Linked DNA regions of Drosophila melanogaster. The protein of the gene in region 1 interacts with the protein of each later gene in a pairwise test. Each region holds a gene or a part of one and is shown on either strand. Other genes may lie near its edges.

Region 1 (6,465 bases):
GGCCAAGTACAATGGCACCCTGAAGCAGTTACGCGAGCAACTGTTCGACTGGCAGGTAGCCACCAAGGATCCCTGGCGATGTGCTCCGCACGCTGTGCTCCAGGAGCAGGGCGTCTACAAGGATCAGCCCGTCTGTCTGACCTTGGGCCACGAGGCGTTGCAGCGGCCCAAGCGCAGGATTCTCGGTCAGTATGAGGAGTATGTGGTCTTCTCGTAGGTCTGACTAAGAGTATTCAATAGATTGGGTGTGTTGTCTTATCGCATGTCCAATGGTTGATAACTCAACCATGCCAATGTTTTTCACTTCACATGCCGTTACAGTTGCGGTCATACAAATAGGAATTGCAAAAGGTAGAAATGATAATATTATATTAATGTATATTCTTATTAAAATAATAAAAAAAAAGTAACATACAATACTTTCAATAATAAACTTTGTTTAACTTTGAAGCGAGCTGCTAATCTTTAAGCATGGCTAATAAAAAGATCAATGTTTTCAAAAGCAATGGTAATCATAAGAATTAAGCATTTGTTTAGAGTATGTACATATGTATGTTCTTTGAACAAATTTCCAAGTTTACATTAAGGGAAAACTTTAATTGCTTTTTACAAACAAACAGATAAAAATATATTGCCTTGATTTTCACCTGCGCAATGCCAAAAAAATAGCCAACAGAATTGGCAAAGAAAGAAGACTGAAGATTCCCCCACTGACTGAATTGGTTGCATCAGCCCAGACTGGCAAACACTCGTGTCCTGGCAGCATGACCTCACCCACTTTTTGGACTGGAGGCGTGGGCATCAGGGGTTGGATGCTGCGTCACGTTTCAATGTCATGCCCACTGGGTCAGTGGGATAGGGGAGGGGAGGGTGTGCTGGCGGCTGCCTGTGTCTGTGTGTGGAAAATCGAAAATTTCAATGCTTCTGTTGTAGTTTATTGGTGGCGCCTCCGGATTCCCACATCGCCCACCACCACCCATTCCCAGCAGCATTCGAGTCTCTGTGTTACACAACAGGCAGCACGTTTTATGGTTTTAAGGTCAGATGGGAAATATCAAAGAGTAAACGACGTTTGCTTGTTTTTTTTTTTGTTGTTTCTCAGTTATGACTTTGAACGAAAGACACATTAAAAATTAAATTTTATTAATTTTGGTTTGCATAAATTAGGGTCTTCAGTTTTAGCATAGTTATTATTATTATGTATATGCCTTGTAATATATATTATTCAAGTTACCGCCCACACAAAAATGCAAAATTACAATAATTATTGTTTGAAGTTCGGGCCCCGCTGCACGTGGGGCAAGTGTGTATCGCGTGGAAAGATAGTCTCCAGGCGATGGGTGGATCCTCCCCAGATGGGGTATCCTCTGGAAATGTTCGCACTGGCAGTCTGTCCGTCCACGAGGCAAATGTTTCATCTTCGCACTCGAATATATAATTCTGTTAAATGTTTTCTTGGCATTTAACAAATTTATTATCAACACAAGTTGCATGGCTTTCAATTCAATGGTTTTCTTCATACGTAAATATATATGTATCTTGTGTATATCATTCCTAAACGTACGAGTATATATATGTATATACATTCGTATGTATATCGTGCATAGCTGTATGCCAACATGAGACTATTTTGAATCATTTTATCGGTTTGCCGTCGAATGTTTATTATTATCTCGTTAAATATATAAATATTTGATCTAGAGTTGCGGTTGGTAAACGCGTTAGTAGGTTCGTAAGTGTTGCTATGCTTCGATTGACTTGACTGGATTTTGCTTACGTTTAAAGTTATTATTATCAACATTTTTGTGGAAATCGTTTAACTAGTATTATGCTTGTTGGTTGGTATTGTTTAGGAGGATTCTGTTACATTTACTTGCCGCTAGTACTTTTTATCTGTTATCATCGTTTAAATATTCATTATATTGTTTACGTTGCTGCTCAGTATAATTTATAATAAATACATAATAATAAATATACATGTAGATAATACGCTTAATAAATATATTTATACATATATTTGATTTCATTTAATATATATATATATAGTTGTTATGTATATAATTAACAAACAAAAAAAACAACACACATAAAAAGGAGCAAAAAGTAGGATACAAATTTCGCTTGTTTCATCCTCGAAAAATTGAATTGAATTATTCTTTACATTGAACAACGAACATCAAGAACGGTATTCCGTATGCCTTTTAGAATAGAGTGTGGGGAGTATTGTTTTTGCACAAATATACGTAGGTAGAGTAGGTATATGTAGGTATTTTCGGGTATATAATAAATATGTATATGCATGTGGGCGGGCGTATGGTGTGGATACGTAGCTTTAGCCTATAAAGGGACATTTGCATAGAGAGCGCATTGGCGTAGGTTGGTTTAAATTACAACGATGAGACCGGATAAAAAGACCTCCGAAAACTGGAGGCTAGAAGAACTCAGGTGGAAAGACAAAAGAGACGCGCCTCCATGGGCGTGATTAAGATTACACGGGTAATTTAGTTAATTAGCTAGAGTGTTTTTCTGTTTGCTTCTGCCGCCGGACCAACTGTTCTAATACGTGATCGATCTATTGTGTGAAGTAGTACTAAATGTTCGCAACTTGCAACGAACAACAAAGCTGACGTTTGAGAATCAAAGGTAAAAACGCAAGGAAGTGGCATTGCGCGCGTAACGTCTTGTAAATTTAGTTAGTTAATACGTACATTAATTTAACTCGTAGTTAATTTGTTAATTATTGTGTTGCCAACTGGTATAATTTTGCACATAAAATTTAGTTAGCTTGCTCTATGGCCACCATGAATTTAGCCTGCTGTGTGCTGCTAGCTAAGCCGTATCGTAATATCCGTAATCGTAGTAACCCGCTCATCTAATTCAACTATATATATATATTTGCATTTATGTGCTGCTGCTGCTGCTTCTGCTGCTCCTGCTTCTGCATCGGCTTGGGCTGCCCAATTTCGCGCCTCTGGTGGCGAAACCAACAATTAAGGTTATTGTTCTCCAATCAGCGATCTACGTACGTCTTCAGCCAGTTTGATAGGATGGGATTGGTTTAGGGATCGGGATTAATACGAGGAACAGGATGAGGAATAGCCTAGTTGCCATTGGGCAGGGGCACCTGCACCTGAACATACGACTGCGGGAAGTAACCGGTGCGGCCATTCACCGCGCCCTCGAACCAATTGTCGTCGACGCGATTCAACAGGGTGATAATGTCGTTCTCCTTGAAGGCCAGTTCGCCGGGATTCTCCGGCTCGAAGTCGTAGAGGGCCTGGCAGCAGGGCTGCTGCTGGCGCTGCGGCGTTACGGCCATCGACTTGGCGGGCGAACGCATCGGCGAGGGCAACGGCGAGGCGCTCGAACTAATGTGAGACGGCGTGCCATCTTCGTTGAGGCCGCCGCCACCGCCGTCCAAGTTCAGATCGAGCAGCGTCTTGGGCACGAACTCGTTGCGTGGCCGGCTCTCCGCCTCGGAGCGCTTCTCCTGCAGTGTCTCCTGCAGGCCTCGAAGGACATCCGCGCATTGCGAATGAAAATCGTATAGTGCCTCGGCAAAGGTGACCAGCTGGGAGACATGCTCCGTATCGTTCTCGAGCAAATTGAACATGCCCACCTGGGCCAGCTGGAGCGATTCACCGAACTTGTCCTCGGCACCACGAATCTCATCGTCCTTGGCCTGTCGGCGACGCTTGCAGTCAAAGTCTAGCCGCCGGCCCTGCAGCTTCTTGCGATGATGCATTACCTCCTTGAGGTCTTTGGTCTGCATATGATGCAGTGGCTCCAAAAAGTTCTGCTTGATGTTGTCGTCCAGCGAATACTTGACGTCGGCCATCTGTTTCAGCGCTTCGCCGAATTCGACGAGCGCCTGCGCGAACACGCTGTTGTCCTCGCCGAGCTTCTTCCCATAAGTCAGCATGCATTCCGCGAGCAGGCCCTCCGGTTGCGGATACGTATTGGACTTGGCCTGTCCGGACAGCTTCGAGATGCCCTTGACCGCTGCCATTTTGGCCCGTGCCGTTGGATTCGGCTGCAGGAACTCCTTCGTCTTTAGCTGCAGCTCCTCCACTAGCTCCACGGTGACGTCCGTCTTGCGTTCCATCTCCATGAAGTCCATGTCCAGTTTGGTGCCCTCGGCACCGCCCATCTTCTCCGTCATATACTGGTTGGCCTTGTTGATCTGCTTTTTGAGTCCGGCGAAAGCCATGGCTGCTGCTGTCTCTTCTGGTTTTCTTCCTCTGATTAAATTGGTCTTGGGGCGCTCGACGCAGTTGCTGTGAACGGGTTGGTTGGGTTAGTCGAGACTCGATTTCAAATTCAATGTCAATATCATCAAGTCAACAATTTCATCAATGGACTGGATGGCTGCCTCACTGACTGCCCGACTGCCTGGCTGGCTGGCTGGCTGGCTGAGTGTGTCTATTTTTAAAACGTTTACGTTTGGAAGACTTACGCGTACTGCACTTTTCTCCGTTCCTTCTCCGCTGGGGGTGCTACTTTCCGGGGCTCTTCTGCTCGCTCAGTGGAGGCTGCGAGTCGGGAAACTCGAATTGGCTTGGTGAACTGTAGCCCGAGTTCGAGTTCTACTTTTGCTGACCACTACTGCGGGCACTTTCACTCGCTTCGCTTGCTCTGCACGTTCTGCCCCGTTTTTTTTTTTGTTGCTCTGCTCGTAATCTTCGATTTTTTCCAGAACCTTGGGCTGCGTAATGTTTGAAGGACCGTGAGTCGTTACTACTACTACTGGTCGCGCACAGGGGGCGGGGGCTGTGGGGTCGCGTTTTCCTCTCGGCTCGCAAAAATCAATATCTTGACTGTGTACAACAATTTTCAACGGCACTAAGCCACTGGAGCTGCGGGACTATCGATAATTCTGTTAAAAAACATTCAGTGTGACCGGTGGTTCGTAAAATACCAAAATCATTCGCATACAACAACGGACATACACGGGATACGCTCATCTCTAGGCATATGTTAAAGATGTGAGGTACAACTTAACATTTTCATTTAATTTCTTTGCAGGGGGGTATTAGATAGTTATATATATATATCAAAACAATATTAAAAATTAAAGTAATATATATATTTTATATTAAGAAGCCAGAAGCACATAAACAGTTAACATAATATCTTACATTTAATATCTAATACTTATAATGTTAATGCATTATAAATTTGAATTTGAAATCTATGTTGATTGGCAGAATTATTAGACTAGAATAAATATGGTCGGTCCCACTGTCGGTCTCTGTATTTGCTCTGTCCTTGTACATGCTGTTAATCGAATAGCTGTTAGATTAGAATAACAGTTTGGCGCGTAAAATTCTAACATTACAATACATAAATATATTATATTGATAGAAAACGTACTCAGCAAAAATAAAGCTGTATAACTGCTGATGAATGTTACGCTAAGATAAAAATGGAATGACTCAGAATGGATAAGAAAATATCATGTTTATCCTGTTTACCAAAATAACTGTGCGCAAAATAACCAGTAGCACAGCAGTCAATTTTATCTTTCTAGAAGGTGGCAAATATATCCCAGGCAAAAATTAAACCCCATTTGCATCGTAAAAACCAGTGACGTTCACAGCATGAAGTAGCAATTTTACCACCTTTTTTTTTTTTATATATTCTGGCTCTATCTGAACAGATAACCCCCGAGAGGTACTTAGCACCACCGAACAAACAATGAACATGTAAATCAGTTCAATCGCAGTAGTAATAGTTGAGATATCAGAGATAAGATCTCCCTGCCGTGTTTTTAATGGCGTATAAAAGCCGCAAGCCGTTGTGCTTTTGGCAATTAGTCTAGACGAAACCCAACGACTGAGAACCAAGTGAACTCAGATAAATTAAAAGAAATGAAATTCGCAATTGTTCTACTGGCGGCCAGCATTGCCTGCATCAGTGCACAGGTGAGGAGTTGTGGATATGGGCCCCCCCATTAAGTGGATTATTATGTAACCGAATTATCATAATTTACTCGTAAGGGCCCTGGAGCTACTGTTGGAAATCCCCTTGCCGGAAATCCCTTTGCCGCCGCCAATCCGTATGCGGCTGCCTTTAATCCCTTCCTAAATGGAATTTTCGGAGGTGCTGGCACAGGAGCTGCCGCCGGTGTAGCCGCTCCCGTGGCACCGTCTGCTCCCTTTGGAGGCGCCTCGATTTCCTCATTCTTCCAGTCGATAGTCCTGCAACGCGAAGCCGAGCGTCTGCTCTCCCAGCCTGACTTTCCCGCCGACCTGGCGGAGCGCGTCCTGGATGTGGTGGCCACCTCGGAGGAGTCGATCAGTGGCTGCAACAACGCCACTTTGCCCTGGCTGCAGATACGCTGTGTCAAGCCTCTGCTGACCACGGCCAAGAACCAGCTGAAGGCCATCGATGACGAGTGGCAGGCCCGTTTGGCCGCCACCGCCAGTCCCACAGGAGCAGCTGCTGCCTAGGATTCTAGTCCTG
Region 2 (3,794 bases), 2.6 Mb from region 1:
CACATATCAGTGCTAATGACGTCGTTATTTGATTGTTTGACCCCCTCAAGCGCTTAGTCATCAGAATTGTTTAAATGGCACATGCTGGTTCGGTGAGTTTTTTTCTTTCGTTTTTGGGGACCGGAGCTCCCAGACATTAATAGTGAGTGTGAGTAGGCGCGAAAACGTGCAGCGCATTCAAGGAACGGAATTGGAATTTTCAGCGATTTATTGTTAAAAATCCGTTAGTCAAGCTATGGAATTTCCAGTAAGTTATGCCCCTTATCGAAATACAAGAGCTACTAGTGTCACGGAATATTATCATGACACATTTAGGTAGCTATCACTAGAACCTTATCGATCTAAAGAACAGATAAGAAATGTATTGTCTTGATTTATCAATTGCGTTGAAATTGTTCAATTAGAAACCCGGATTCTTGAGTGATGTAACTGATGGTTCTGATTAATGGACATCATTTGACCATTCATTCATAAGCTGATTAACAACTTCCCACCCTCAAGCATACATAATTCATGGTATTATTCTTTGCCATCCAACTGGCTTGTTGTTTTCTTCATAGCCGGCATCTTCAGCGCGTGTCTGATTCAATTTTAGTCTGGTGATGTCATATACGATGGACTTGATACAGTAAAACCAGACGACTACGTATACATCTGGCAGAGATTTCTTTATGGTCCCATCACCACCGCCTTATCGCCCTAATAGATCATAAACTCATAAGAGGTCTTTGGAATTTATAAAAAACAAACATCATCTGGCAGAAGAAGTATAAATTATTTAAATTCATGAGCCCATTTGCATGTTTTTTGTGTGCGCCATAAATTGTTCGCGAGTTTGGTGAGTATTTCGTCTAATCGGGTCACATACGTAAACGATTTTAAGAACACTATATTTATATTTTCAGCACGCAAAGAGGCAATTTCTCCACCTCAGTTCGCGGGAAGTGGCTAATCGATTTTCTTAAAGTTCGCGGAATTTAAACGCGAAATATCAAAGGACTCACTGCTGGGGATCCTGGAGCAGGTTGCCGCTGATGGACAGCCGGGTTACTCGATCCGAGGTACTGGCATTGGTGGGCAGCACGGCAAAGAACTTCACATCAGGCATTTTAAACGATTTATTATAATGGGCTGCTTCTTTTCCGTTTTATTTTTAGCAAGGTGTGTAATTGCAAATTTTATCCGGATAATTGTAAATACGTTTGCTGTGGCAGTTGCCAACGGTTACAATAACTCCAAATAGCCGAGGGAGTAGTGAGCACTTGGACGACTTGGTCAATACTGTTGGCGATTACACAGATACGGTGCTATATTAAGGGACTGGAAGAGGATTAAGTCCAAGACTACGTCACGGGCAACGTGCAGTCGAGCATATTTGCTTAGCTTTAACTAATTTAAATAATTCCACGACGCGCAGTTCCGTTCGCATTCGCGCGTGATTGAAAACTGAGCAGGAGTGCCTCTGCGTAAAACGGAGCAGCTGAGCGATCCCCACACCTGTTAGCCAGTAAATTCCGGACCCCGATAGTATGACCATATCGGTTGTTTTCCAATTTGAAAACGTGGCGCTGCCCCGCCGATAAATGAGTACTTTTATCGATGCCTGACCTATCGGTGAACACCCATATCTACGGCCACCTAACGCTAACAATTCGGGGACAAAATCAAATCGCATGCAAAGAATTCAGTACAGTTAATTAAAGTACGCTCAAGCACAGTCGAAGTAATAACAAAATGAAGACGTGGTACATGGTGGTAGTGATCGGCTTCCTGGCGACGTTGGCCCAAACGTCGCTGGCCCTGAAAGAGGAGGACTGCGAAGGTATGTGATTGGCCACGTAAGTGGTTGAGATGTTCTGGAACAGATTTTCACCGGGCTCCATTCTTTCGTTCCGCAGTTTGCGTCAAGACGGTTAGGCGGTTCGCAGATTCGCTGGACGACTCCACCAAGAAGGACTACAAACAGATCGAAACGGCCTTCAAAAAGTTCTGCAAAGCGCAGAAAAACAAGGAACACAGATTCGTGAGTAGCCGGCAAACAAGTGCCGCCCCCTCTCCCTCACTTCCTATTCTCTGGGAAAAATGATACACGTATGCGTTTCTTCGTAGTGTTACTACCTCGGCGGTCTGGAAGAATCCGCCACGGGCATCCTCAACGAGCTGAGCAAACCCCTCAGTTGGTCCATGCCAGCTGAGAAGATCTGCGAGAAGCTGAAGAAGAAGGACGCACAAATCTGCGACCTTCGCTATGGTAAATATTTTAGTTAGGAACTATACATATATAGGAAGTGTGGGTATACAGAATTCAATATGAAGCACCTAGCATTTCTTGGCAAAAGGAAAGAATTCAGGAATACAATTTCGCATGTATGCTTTACTATTATATCATAGCTTGTTAAATTATTTTGTGGTAACTCGCATAAAATTCTACATTTTATGAGATAGGTCTGTTTGTAAAATGAATGTTAATGGTTTAGATTATTAGAAAACGTTAATCGTCATTTACTAAGAGTCAATTAATCTAGGGTGTCTATTAGAAACAAAAACTCTTAACTTGGCTTAACATTTAGCTTTTCTGTCGCTGCTCTTCGCCTTAATATACTTCTATAAACATTTATTTATGTGGATTGTTCATTGCAGAGAAACAAATCGATCTGAACAGCGTGGACCTGAAGAAGCTGAAGGTACGCGACCTGAAGAAAATCCTCAACGACTGGGACGAGAGCTGTGACGGTTGCCTGGAGAAGGGCGACTTCATCAAGCGTATCGAGGAGCTGAAGCCCAAGTACTCGCGCAGCGAGCTGTAGAGCGCAGTCAGTTACTTGTGTAGTTACATGGAACACGCCCACTTAGCTAAAACAACAACCACATGAAACGCCCCCTACACATCCATATTTTTAGTTAATTTACAATTTTGATAGACTTTGAGAGAATTGAATATAACTATATATGCCTAAAGATAAAACCTATATTTTGAAATAAAAAACAACAAACACACAAGACCTCGTCCTCTCAAACGGTTGATAAATAGTTTGTTTTTATTTTTGTTATTAGTTTTCGGTTTTTGAACTCCTCTTTCACAATTACAAGTATTACGTACAAATTACAACAGAAATTCACATAATATCTGGATTAAAGTTTTATTTAAATGTTAAATACATAATTCCATTGCACTTAATGCCACGGGCCGCGTAAATTCGATGTGAGCGAAGGGCTGGCTCGCCTCAACTAAATTATAATTATTAGTTAGACATAATCACTAAAAACGAACATAGGAAGCTAGGATGAAGATGTGTGGGTGGTGGATTCAGCTTCTTGAATGCAATTTCTGATGAATAGTGCTCCTGGAGATTCTAGCGACGGTACGGCTGCTTGTTGTAACGACCGCGCTCGTTCTCCTCGGACAGGTTGGCGTATTCACTATAGACCACGCACCAGCAATAGGTCATAATCGCTGAAAGATGGAGGAGGAACATTGGGTTAGGGCATGTGCGCGCAAAAGAGTGCTGTCATTTTATATTCTACATGAATTGCATCCGATTTTACACGATGTAATGTAAATTGACTTTTAACTCGTATGTGGTTCATTTTCGGTAAGCACTTAATTTTTATCAAATTTAATATGCAAATTTGTAAAACTTGAAAAATATCATTTTTCAAAAGTAAAAAAAAAGCGAGGAATATATGTATAAACCTGAAGCATTCACAATGTGATTCGGTTCTTTAACTTTTATACCGCTGAATTAATACAATTAAATTTGTTTGATTCATTTAATGAGCTTATTTAACAATCG

What was found.
Region 2: the proteins of EndoA (region 1) and Manf interact in a two-hybrid assay, tested with the Drosophila melanogaster proteins (one large-scale study listed by BioGRID).

Annotation. Positions count from the first base shown.
Region 1 is NT_033777.3:18,905,012-18,911,476, reverse strand, and holds EndoA (endophilin A), read right to left. Parts: upstream 4,869-6,465; 5' UTR 4,457-4,868; exon of another isoform or gene 4,278-4,456; 5' UTR 4,211-4,277; coding exon 3,101-4,210; 3' UTR 3,027-3,100; exon of another isoform or gene 2,972-3,026; 3' UTR 722-2,971; downstream 1-721. Other genes in the region: Sgsh (N-sulfoglucosamine sulfohydrolase), read left to right, coding at 1-217; CG14292 (uncharacterized protein), read left to right, coding at 5,871-5,924, 6,000-6,452. UniProt on the Drosophila melanogaster protein: Required presynaptically at the neuromuscular junction. Implicated in synaptic vesicle endocytosis.
Region 2 is NT_033777.3:16,347,777-16,351,570, forward strand, and holds Manf (mesencephalic astrocyte-derived neurotrophic factor), read left to right. Parts: upstream 1-1,627; 5' UTR 1,628-1,734; coding exon 1,735-1,822; intron 1,823-1,898; coding exon 1,899-2,023; intron 2,024-2,109; coding exon 2,110-2,251; intron 2,252-2,640; coding exon 2,641-2,807; 3' UTR 2,808-3,025; downstream 3,026-3,794. Other genes in the region: CG14879 (uncharacterized protein), read right to left, coding at 1,005-1,108; CG10311 (uncharacterized protein), read right to left, coding at 3,354-3,454. UniProt on the Drosophila melanogaster protein: Required during the maturation of the embryonic nervous system for maintenance of neuronal and cuticular connectivity. Essential for maintenance of dopaminergic neurons and dopamine levels.